3 linked regions of the Cricetulus griseus genome follow. The protein of the gene in region 1 interacts with the protein of each later gene in a pairwise test. Links are inferred from orthologs where the notes say so. Each region holds a gene or a part of one and is shown in the gene's direction. Other genes may lie near its edges. The genes, in order: Dvl3, Kat7 and Tnfaip8l1.

Region 1 (3,649 bases):
TCTTAAATTACTTGGGAGATCCAGTCAAGGCCTTGCCTTGGTGAAGCCTGATGATCTGGGCTCTAGCCCCAGGACACATGGTGGAAGGAAAAATCCAACTTCCACAAGTTGTCCTCTGACCTCCATACACCTGTGTGTGCGCGCACACACACACACCACACACACACGTAATAAAAATCTTAAAGGGGGGCTTACATTTAATGAGAGAGTGTGGATCTTACTAAAACTAGAGATAATCTTACTAAAACTAGAATATAATTTTTGTTATATTCTAAGGATCTTGTTTAACAGGATAAGGCAAAGGTTTGGATAAGCTAAAAGATATCTCTAAGCTGGGAGAACTACTAAGGACAGTTGGTATCTAACTCCTGGCCCTATCACATTCCCAAAGCCAAACTGCATGTCATGACCACTTTCTGTGGTCCCTCATGCCCCAAATTATTTTCCCCCACCCCTCACAGACCCATTACATCTATCATCAAATGGGAAAAAAAATGTGACAAGATCGAAAAGAGAATAGAAGTCAGAAATAGCCTGGGGTTCAATTGTAGCCATGAATGTCAGTTTCTTAATTCTTGAAATGAAAATTATATTGTCTACCTAATTATATATTTTTACATATGCATACACACTTCTTTTTGAGGCAGGGTCTCTCTGTGTATCCCTGGCTGTCCTGGAACTTACTCTGTAGACCAGGCTGGCCTTGAACTCAGAGATCTTCCTGCTCTGCCTTTCAAGCGCTGGGATTAAAGGTGTGTGCCACAACCATCCAGCTTTTTTGGGAGCGAGGTAAAATTATATGTTCTATAGTAATAGACGACATAATAGATAAAAATGCAGAGTCACATAGTTTGGGATTCAAACACCAGCTTTCTACTTGTTTGTGGAGTGTTTCTTCATTGGAGGGGGTGGGTGTTGAGGGTCCTCATGTGTCCCAAGCTGGCCTCAAACTCACTCTGAAGCTAAGGATGACCTTAAACTGATCCTCCTGCCTCCGCCTCTCTAGTTCTGGATTACAGGCACGCACAGCCATACCCAGTCGAATGGCATTGTGAATGCTACGCAAGCATTCTGCTGTCTGAGCTACATCTTCGGCCTCTTTTCTTCCTTATTGTGACAGAATCTCATGTTACCCAGGCTCACCTCATAATCTGCCTGCCTCCGCCTCCTAAGTGTTGACTGGGATTATAGATATGTACCACATAGATGCTTATGAAGGCCTTCTCTCCTCTTTCCTACTTCCTTAAACTCCTTGCCCACGGCTGTCAGAACAAAGTCAGGATTCCTAGCTGAGAAGTGAAGAACAGTAAGAGTTGCGGTGCCTTTTCCCAGTCAAAGGTCAGAGGGATGCTGGGAACAGCACAAGTGCTCTGGAGGTTCTGAGGTGTGGTGTGGGGCCGTTATAGTTTCCAGTCTCCTGATGGCCAAGTCGGTGCTCTAGCAAGTCAGTTGGCCCAGATATGGCCCTGCGAGAGGGGTGGCCCAGAGAGCAGTGTGTGTTCCCGACTTGTGACTCCTCCCCGAAGCTCCTTCTTCTCTGTCCTACTTCTTGGAGGTGCTAAGGATATGTCCCTAGCCCCTCCTCACAGCTGAACAGTCAGTCTTGTGTTGATGGCTTGATCTCACACTTAGGACTACTCAGGTTATGGAGATCCTGCATTTCTACTTCAGAAAGTTCTCACTGACATCCCCCTTTCCCTGCAGAGTGGTGAAGGAAGAGATCTCAGACGACAATGCCAAGCTGCCCTGCTTCAATGGTCGGGTGGTGTCCTGGGTAAGGAGCCATCAGCCTCCAGCTGTATTCCTGTGCTGGCTAGAGGGAGGGACAGCTTAGTTAAGGTTGTAGCTAGTGATTTTATGCCTCTGTATCTGAATCTGCCTTTAGTTTTCTAATGATTTCCTAGAGTTTGCAGTCTTTAATGATATGTGAGAGAATAGTGGGAGGAAGAGAGGGGAGAAACAGGAGCACAGGATAGAAATTCAGAGGTCTTCTATGTCCATCCAGACACCTACTGCCAGTGGGCATCCTCTGTGCTGTGCCCGGACTCTGCTGCCCATGCCTGCCAGCCCGTCTCCCTCATGCACCTGGCCAACTGCCCTTGCATGGGCCAGTCTTCTCAGCCTCACTCTCCAGGCTTTCACGTCCTGCTGCTGAAAGCAACATCTTGCTTTTCCTTGGCACCCCTGTGATCACTCATTTTCTTGGCAGCTGGTATCTGCTGAGGGTTCCCACCCAGAGCCAGCCCCATTCTGTGCCGACAACCCATCAGAGCTGCCACCTTCAATGGAGCGCACAGGAGGCATTGGGGACTCTCGACCCCCATCCTTTCAGTAAGTGTGACTTAAAGGTGGAATGGCCTGGGGAAGGGGGACCTCAGCTCAACCCAGAGCTGGGGAAGGGAGCCCCCACAGCCTGTTCTCATCTCCACCAATTCTTCTCTACCCTTTAGCCCTCATGCTAGTGGAGGCAGCCAAGAAAACCTGGACAATGACACGGAGACTGACTCCTTGGTGTCTGCCCAACGAGAGCGTCCCCGTCGGAGGGATGGCCCAGAGCACGGTGTGTATTTTCCACCTACAACCCCCTCCTGCAGCTTGCAGCCAGCTCCCTGCCTCTTTACCCTATTTCCTTAGTTACGGATATGCCTGGCCCCTGATCAGCCCCTGGCCTGCCCGCCTCATACCCTTTCTCCCCTACTTTGGGCCTTGCAGCAGCCCGGCTCAATGGAACTGCGAAGGGGGAGCGGAGGCGAGAGCCAGGTGGCTATGACAGTTCATCTACCCTTATGAGCAGTGAGCTGGAGACTACCAGCTTCTTTGACTCAGATGAGGACGACTCCACCAGCAGGTGGGGCTTGACTTCCATAGGTCCTGGGGTGGGAGTGAAAGGGACAAGTGACCCATGAGGAAGCCTGATTCTGCTGATGCTTCACCTCTGGGGGGGAGGGACGGGACGTGGGCATTGTGTTGGGACCAGGGCTGTGCAGTGCCTCTTTCGGGGCCAGGATGGGCCAGCCTGGTGGGGAACGACTTTGGGCCCCACAGGTTCAGCAGCTCCACAGAACAGAGCAGTGCCTCGCGCCTAATGAGGAGACACAAGCGGCGGCGGCGGAAGCAGAAGGTCTCTCGGATTGAGCGGGTATGGACTCTCGAGCTGAGCAGGGCAGATAATGAGTCCTTTCTGGGCAGGACCAGAGCTCTTCCTCAGAGCCCTCTGTTTGGTTTAGTGTTTGAAATCTTAGTGGGTGAGGGTAGTGGGTTGAGCAAGAACCAGATGGGCACGCCCACCCCTGCCTGCTGCTCACAGCTACTGTCTCTTCCAGTCTTCGTCCTTCAGCAGCATCACAGACTCCACTATGTCTCTCAATATCATCACAGTTACTCTCAACATGGGTGAGTCTGCTGAACACATTGAAGAGCCTCTGCTGGGAAGGCAGAAGGGGTTTCTGGGAAGCACAACATACATTTTCTGGGGTCCAGGGTGGGATCTCAGTGGCAGAGTATAAGGCCCAGGGTCCTGTATCCAATACAGGAAGAAAAATATGTGTTTCTTGCTCTCCTGTTGCTTTTTTATAAATACTGACATAATCATTTCGGTATTTCATTGTCAGGGCTATAACAGAGAAACACAGAGAACTGTGTGACCTGG
Region 2 (3,494 bases), on another chromosome or scaffold:
ATATGAGACAGGGCTATGGCAAAATGCTCATTGATTTCAGTAAGTGATGCTGCTGAGCATCAGCTCTTCAAGGCTGGTACCCTGGGGATGTTGATCACTTTTGATGTGTGCTCTTGATAGTACCAACATGTAGTAGAAGGAAGTACCTTGACAACTGTTAGTGAATGAACACAGAACCTGGAGTTGCTACTAAATTAATAGGAGATGCAGAGAATAATAAAGAAAGCTCTGCAAGATTATCCCATTTGAGACTGAAACAGCACAGATGCGTGCTTAAGGCTTAATGTCCTTTGATGCTTGGGATTTCACTTATATAAGCACTTGTGGAGGTAATCCATGTACCTGATTTAGGCTTTGGGTATTATACTCACTCTTCATTAATCATGAGTATCGGTTTGAATTTGTCTACCAACTAATATGTACCTCCCAGATTCATGGGGAAAGGGGTCTTACTACATTTGTTTGTTGGTTTAGGTCATACATGTGGAGGTCAGAGGAGAGTTTTCTTCCTCCTCCATGTGTGTCCTGGGTTTGAACTAAGATCATCAGCTTGGTGACAAGTACCCTAAACTGTTCATTTAAAATGTCTGTAAGCATTGTACTGAAATGTTGGTCTTTAGCACAGGAGCACAGGGAGACTGATAACTGCAGATGTTAGACAAGCTCTCTACAGACGTGAATCACAGTACCATGGGTTGTGAGTGCAGTTACTCTGAATCAACAGTGTGTTGTAATTTTTTTTGTTTGTTTTTGTTTTTTTCGAGACAGGGTTTCTCTGTGGCTTTGGAGGTTGTCCTGGAACTAGCTCTTGTAGATCAGGCTGGCCTCGAACTCACAGAGATCTGCCTGCCTCTGCCTCCTGAGTGCTGGGATTAAAGGCGTGTGGCACCAACACCCGGCGTAGCTTTTTTTTTTTTTTTAAGTATCACAGTGTTTATTGATAGATACAAGAATATAAAGTCAGGGCATGAACATGACTTAATAAATTAAGTAGACTTAATCTCAATACTATAAAAAGAGGGACCAATTCAAATTTTGACCATTTGTTTCACACCCACAAAAACCTCTTCAAGGGCATTGAAGATCTCTCAGAACTGATCGGTTTTGTGCAAGTAAACCATGTTTCTTTTAAAAAGACTTGTGCACTTGCCCAGGCTCAAGGACATTAAAATCTAGCACATAAAGCCCATTACTAGTGGTGAAAATACAGGAAATATACTAGTTGTAAGATGTTTTTAAACAGAAAAGGACATTTGACATAGAAAATTTGATGGCTCTGGCCAGAGGCTCTCAAGAAGCAAACTTTACTCCTGTCAGCAGTGGTTCAACATTCATTCTCAAGTCAGCATTCCCGGTACCTATTGAGCATAGCCACTGTGACAAACAAGAATCAGCTGTGTGCTACCAGCATCTGTGTCATGGAATTTTAGTCAAAGGAAGAATGGAGGTTTAGCTGGAGAGATGGCTCAGTGGCTAAGAGCATGGAGTGCTCTTAAAGAGAACCCAGGTTCAGTTTCCAGCACCCACATGGCAGCTCATAACCAGCTGTAACTCCAGTCCCAGGGGTGTCAGATGCCTTCTTCTGACCTCCACACATGGAGGTCACATATAGATGTGGGCGGACACCCACATTTTTTTTTGTTGTTATGAGTATATGTGATACACATATGACAACTAGAAGTTGATAGTGTCTTCCTCCATTTTTGATTTATTTATTGACAGAGCATCTCACTAAACTGAGAACTCACTCACTTTGACTAGTCTAGCTAGCCTGCATGTCCTGGAGATCCCATCTATGCCTCTAGAAAACTGAGCTTACTGGCAGCCACCATTCTTGACCTACTTCTGTGAGAGTTTTGGGGATCCACACTCTAGTTTTTATGATTACATGGAAAGTACTTTATCTGTTGAGCCATTTCCTTAGGCCCTATAAAAATTTTAAATTAGTATTTATTTGTTTGAAGCAAGGTTTCACTGTATAACAGCTCTGGCTGTCCTGGAACCCACTCTGTAGAAGGCTGGCCTCGAACTCAACAAGATCTGCCTGCCTCTGCCTCTCAGGTCCTGGGATTAAAGGCATGCGGCACTACCACCTGGCCATATTTATTTTTATTTTATGTACATTGATGTTTTGTCTGTGTATATGCCTTTGTGAAGGCTTCGGGTGTCCTGAAAGTGGAGTTAGATTGTTGTGAGCTGCCATGTGGGTTCTGGGAATTGAATCTGAATTGTCTGGAAGAGCAGCCAGTGCTCTTAACTGCAAAGCCATTTCTCCAGCCCCAAGTGAAAACAATTTAAACTAGACATGGTGGATGGAACATACAATGCTAACACTCCTGTCTCTAGAGGATTGCCTCACATTTATAGCCAGCCTGCTTTAACCTGAAAGAAAGAAGCAAGGGAGGGAGGATTGTTGTATTTTGTAATTTGGATCTGCAAAACAGAGATGGAAGGACTTCGGTCTCTGTTCTTAGCAAATACCCACACAATTGCTGTTAAAGCTCCTTGTGAAGCCTTCCAGGGTTGTTCCTAAGTGCCTGTTATAAGGTGCTTAGACACACAATAAGTGCACATTCCACCACCCTTGTTTATATAAAGCCAGTATGTCTTCAGCAGCCACACAGAACACACTCTGTTGAATGGCTGGCTCTGTGGTACTGCAAAGCAGATGTCCTTAAGTCTTCTGTGTTTGCACACTGTTTTTTGCTGTTAGAATGAGATTTAGTGTTGCTTAAAAAAGTCTGACTGGCTTCCCAACCAGATGGAAGCAGAGACAGTGGGGAAGATTTCACTGCAGGTTCAACACCAGCCCGGTCTGTATATAGTGCATTATAGGCCAGCTAGCACTACATATCAAAACCTTGTCTCAAAAAGCCCCCTCACCCAAGGGCTTGTGAGATAGCTCAGTGGGTAAAGTCACTTGCTGCCAAGCCTAAGGACCCGAGTTTGATTTTCGGTACCCACACAGTAGAAGGAAAGAACTGATTTCTACAAGTTGTTCTTTGATTTCTACACCAGCATGCACACAAAATAAGTAAACATAATTTTTAAGGCCTTCTCCACAAATTAAAAGAATAAAAACCAAATTTGTTTTTTTTCTTGGCAGGTTATTTACTTTCCAAAGTGGAAGAGAAAGTTGGCTCTCCAGAGCGCCCCCTGTCGGACCTTGGGCTCATAAGCTACCGAAGCTACTGGAAGGAAGTGCTGCTCCGGTACCTGCACAACTTCCAGGGCAAGGAGATTTCCATCAAAGGTAGGTTGCACTTGATGACAGTGGCCCTCATTCTGTTTAATCTGACTGTGATTAGAGGGCATTGCAGAGACCCTCGGTGCAGGGCTGAAGATCCTGGAACATTGGGTCCTGGGAATAGTCATAAAGTGTTTTTTGCCATCTGGAGTTGTTAACACTCAATTCTTCTAAAAACCAAGAGGAGGACCTGGAGACCTGGCTCAGCATTTGAGAGTACTGGCTGCTCTTCTGGAGGAATCCGGTT
Region 3 (3,649 bases), on another chromosome or scaffold:
GGAAGTCCATCCACACTCTCAGCTTCACTCCTGAGCCACAGAGTCCAAATTTGGCTTTGTCCATGGGTAAGCAAGGTCCAGAGGATCAGCACTCCCTCTGGAGTCACACACCCCCAAGCCAAACAGGGACTCCAGACTTTGTTCCTCTGAGAGCCCCCCCCCTTTGTTCAGTGTTAATTGGGAACCAGCCCCCGGATGGTGTAGAGGTCTCTCTGGTCCCCTGCCTGTGAGATAATCTTCTTTCTTCTCTGTTTTTTGGAGAGGGTCATGTAGCTTAGGCTGCCCCCCAGCTCCCCATATAGCTCAGGCTGACCTTGAGCTTCTGATCCTCCTGCCTCCACCTCCAAGTGCTGGGGTGGCAGGTGTGCAATGTCTGGTGTATGGTGTCCTCAGACACTAGGGAGGAGGCAGGAGCACTCAGGTGTGGGACCATCGGAGGCTGATCGTCCTCTTCTGCTGTGTGGCCCCCAGGTACAGTGGACTTTGAGAGGATAGATTCCACCACTGTGCCTTTATTCCTACCTGTCCCCACTGGGGACAGCTGTGGTCTTTGCAGAATGGCGTTGGCCGAAGTGATGAAATGGGCTCACGTGGCAGGCATACTGTGTCAATAGCTATGTCTAGGCCCTGGCTGGTGGACAGCCGGGTGGGGGAATGAGGAGGTGTGGGGGGTGAGCACTGGGGGCAGGAAAGCTGCAGAGCGAGACATGTGTCCCTGACCGCTAAGGCCAAGAAGAGGATGGCGAGAACGGGGGTGGGGGCTGCCCGGGGTCTGGGCTCATACAAAGGCGGGCTTTGTAGATGATTCGGGGATAAGCTGGCCGGGTGGGTGGTGCATGGCTGACCAGGGTCAGGTCTCAACAGGCCTCTGTGTATTCCTTGGCTTTTCCGGGTTTGCTCACTCCTAGAGGGGTCAGAGGTCCCAGAGAACACAGCAGAAGAAGGGTCAGGCCCTGACTTCCCTCTGTGGTGGGGGAGGCAGTTGCAGCCGTGCAGCCCTGTGTGGCTCAGAGGGAGGAGGTTTGTAGAGTTTATTAGGGAAGGGGCATGAGAACTCTCAGTGGTTTTGAGCACTGTCTCTTGGGGGAAAATTCTAGAACTGCTTGATCTAAGTATTGTGGCTGCTCCATGGGGACCACTTGACTGCACTTGCATCAAAAGCCTCAACTCCCAGCCAGAAACAGCCAGCTGGCTATCGGAGAGTAGGGATGGTGCCCGACCCTGCCCAGACTTTATCATTCTACATGCATTCCTTTGACCTGTCATCCCGCAGGGCCCATGGACACCTTCAGCACGAAGAGCCTGGCCCTGCAGGCCCAGAAGAAAGTCCTCAGTAAGATGGCCTCCAAGGCCATGGTGGCCGTATTTGTGGACGACACCAGCAGCGAGATCCTGGATGAACTGTACCAAGCCACCAAGGAGTTCACCCGCAGCCGGAAGGAGGCGCAGAGGGTGGTGAAGAACCTGGTGAAGGTGGCGGTGAAGCTGTCGGTGCTGCTGCGGGCCGGTCAGCTGGATAGCGATGAGCTGGCCCAGTTGCGACGGTTCCAGGGCCGGATGCGCAGTCTGGCCATGACAGCCCTCAGCTTCCACCAGGTGGACTTCACCTTCGACCGGCGAGTGCTGGCCGCGGGGCTGCTGGAGTGCAGGGATCTGCTGCATCAGGCCACAGGCACGCACCTCACTGCCAAGTCCCATGGCCGCATCAACCACGTCTTCGGCCACTTTGCCAACGGCGACTTCCTGGCCGCGCTGTACAGCCCAGCAGAACCCTACCGGAGACACCTGCACCGCATCTGCGACGGCCTCGGGAGGATGCTGGACGAGGGCGGCATCTGACCTGGTCTGGGGACTGTCCCTGAGAACACCACCACTCGTCCCAACTTCCGCTCCTCTTACTAATTCCCAGACGCTGTCACGTAGCCCAGGCTGTCTTTGCAGCGAGGCTGACCTTGAACTAGCGATGCTGCTCCTGCAGTTGCCTCCTGAGTGCCGGGGTGATGGGTATGCTCCACCACCTCGCTGTTGGGCCTTGTCTTTTTTTCAGACAAGATCGAGGAGAACTGGGAGAAAAAGAGTTGTACTCCCTGACCTCTGGCCCCTGCCAAATGCCTATTTCCTTTCCTAACTCTCAGGGCCTCCCAAGGTGACTTGCTTCAGGAAATGGAGTTCAAGCCCTGACACCGGACTAGGACTGAAGCGGTCCCAGCCTGCCCTGTGGTGTTGGGATCCGATTCGGAGACCCCCCCATCTGGGACTGCATCTGAGAAAAGGAAGAAACTGCCTGGCGGGGAGGTGGCTCGGTGTGTGGGGCGCTCGCTGCCAAGCCTGATGATGGAGTTTGATTCCCAAAACCCGCACTGTGGAAGCACAGAACCAGTTTTGGCAAGTTGGCCTTTGACCTCCACGCGGCCCGCCCACGTGACCACGCAGCAAGGAGCCAGTGATCTGCTGGAGTCTTCACTGGGAGGGAGGAGCCTGGGGAATCTCAGAGGCTGTCCCCAGCTTTAACAGGGCAGAGATACTGGAGACACGTGTCTGTGTTAAATTATAACACTCTATTTGGGAATCAAACCCATCTTTTCTCTTTGTATTGCAGCCAGGGCTTGTAACCAACACTGACTGCGCATGCGGGAGCATGACGTCATACTTGGCTTATCCTTATGGTCACTATGAGACAGAACTTTCATCCTTGGAAAGGTGGGCAGGCTTTAGCTATCTTTGTGCACAACTGAGTTGTGCATTAGTTCTCTAGAATTTCCCAGTGAAGGACTGGGGGCGTGGTCAGAGGTAGAGCCCCGCCTAGAATTGCCTAGTGGGGGGCGTGGCCAGCTGTAGCACGCACATGTTGGGGAAGATCCCTGTGACCAGTTAAGACCCTGCATCTGCAGATGGTGGATAGCGCAGCGGTTGTGCAATGCTGCAGGTGGGAAGGTTATCCGGGGTGTCGGGGAGGACTGCGTGTATTTAGGGCAAAGTTTATAATCCGTAGCCTGTGGGGCCTGGTGGGAGCCAGAGGCTTCATTAGTGTTTCAGACAAAGGCCAGCACTTACAAAGAAGATTCCACCAACAGCTACAGACTGTTTTATGTGTTTTAAAGCAGTACCTTACCCTGTAGCCCAGGTTGGCCTGGAATTCATATTCTCCTGCCTCAGCGTCCCGAGGGCTGGCTAGAGTCCCAGCCTGAGCTCCACACTGTCCTGTTGCAGTCACTTCTGTCAGCTGCTTGAAGCCATTCTTGCCATTCCAGCTCCACAGGGGAATTTGTCTCCCTTCAGACCCTTGGCTGGATCTTGAAACCGGGACCCCAGCATACATGCTGCTGTCCCCAGATGAAACCTTCATGCTGACCAAATGGGAGACTAGTCTTCGTTTTGTGGGGCTGTGTTCATAAGGGTGAGATGAAAAGGAAAGCCAGAGAGCACGAGGGACTTTATTTTGCGTTTCACCAGGGGCTCTGCCATCAAGCCAGCCTCATTTCCCTTTTAGGGCTAGATTCTCAGGGTGACCTGGATCTCACAATCCTCTTGCCTCAGCACCCTGAATGCTTGGGAACACAGGCCTATGCTTCCAGGCCTGGGATAGAAAAATGTTTACAGCTGTTGTGGGGCTGGTTACATGGATCAGTGGGTAGAGGAGCTTGCCACC

What was found.
Region 2: the proteins of Dvl3 (region 1) and Kat7 interact in a two-hybrid assay, tested with the Homo sapiens proteins (2 studies listed by BioGRID and IntAct). The two-hybrid records come from large-scale screens. The link is inferred for Cricetulus griseus from reciprocal best matches to the Homo sapiens genes DVL3 and KAT7.
Region 3: the proteins of Dvl3 (region 1) and Tnfaip8l1 interact in binary tests that used the Homo sapiens proteins (3 or more experiments, as listed by UniProt). The two-hybrid records come from large-scale screens. The link is inferred for Cricetulus griseus from reciprocal best matches to the Homo sapiens genes DVL3 and TNFAIP8L1.

The regions. Positions count from the first base shown.
Region 1 is NC_048597.1:68,113,498-68,117,146, reverse strand, and holds part of Dvl3 (segment polarity protein dishevelled homolog DVL-3), read left to right. Parts: intron 1-1,704; coding exon 1,705-1,774; intron 1,775-2,209; coding exon 2,210-2,331; intron 2,332-2,450; coding exon 2,451-2,560; intron 2,561-2,712; coding exon 2,713-2,848; intron 2,849-3,045; coding exon 3,046-3,139; intron 3,140-3,323; coding exon 3,324-3,393; intron 3,394-3,649. UniProt on the Homo sapiens protein: Involved in the signal transduction pathway mediated by multiple Wnt genes.
Region 2 is NC_048600.1:108,454,613-108,458,106, reverse strand, and holds part of Kat7 (histone acetyltransferase KAT7), read left to right. Parts: coding exon 1-39; intron 40-3,106; coding exon 3,107-3,253; intron 3,254-3,494. UniProt on the Homo sapiens protein: Catalytic subunit of histone acetyltransferase HBO1 complexes, which specifically mediate acetylation of histone H3 at 'Lys-14' (H3K14ac), thereby regulating various processes, such as gene transcription, protein ubiquitination, immune regulation, stem cell pluripotent and self-renewal maintenance and embryonic development.
Region 3 is NC_048598.1:97,377,132-97,380,780, reverse strand, and holds part of Tnfaip8l1 (tumor necrosis factor alpha-induced protein 8-like protein 1), read left to right. Parts: intron 1-1,273; 5' UTR 1,274-1,278; coding exon 1,279-1,839; 3' UTR 1,840-3,649. UniProt on the Homo sapiens protein: Acts as a negative regulator of mTOR activity.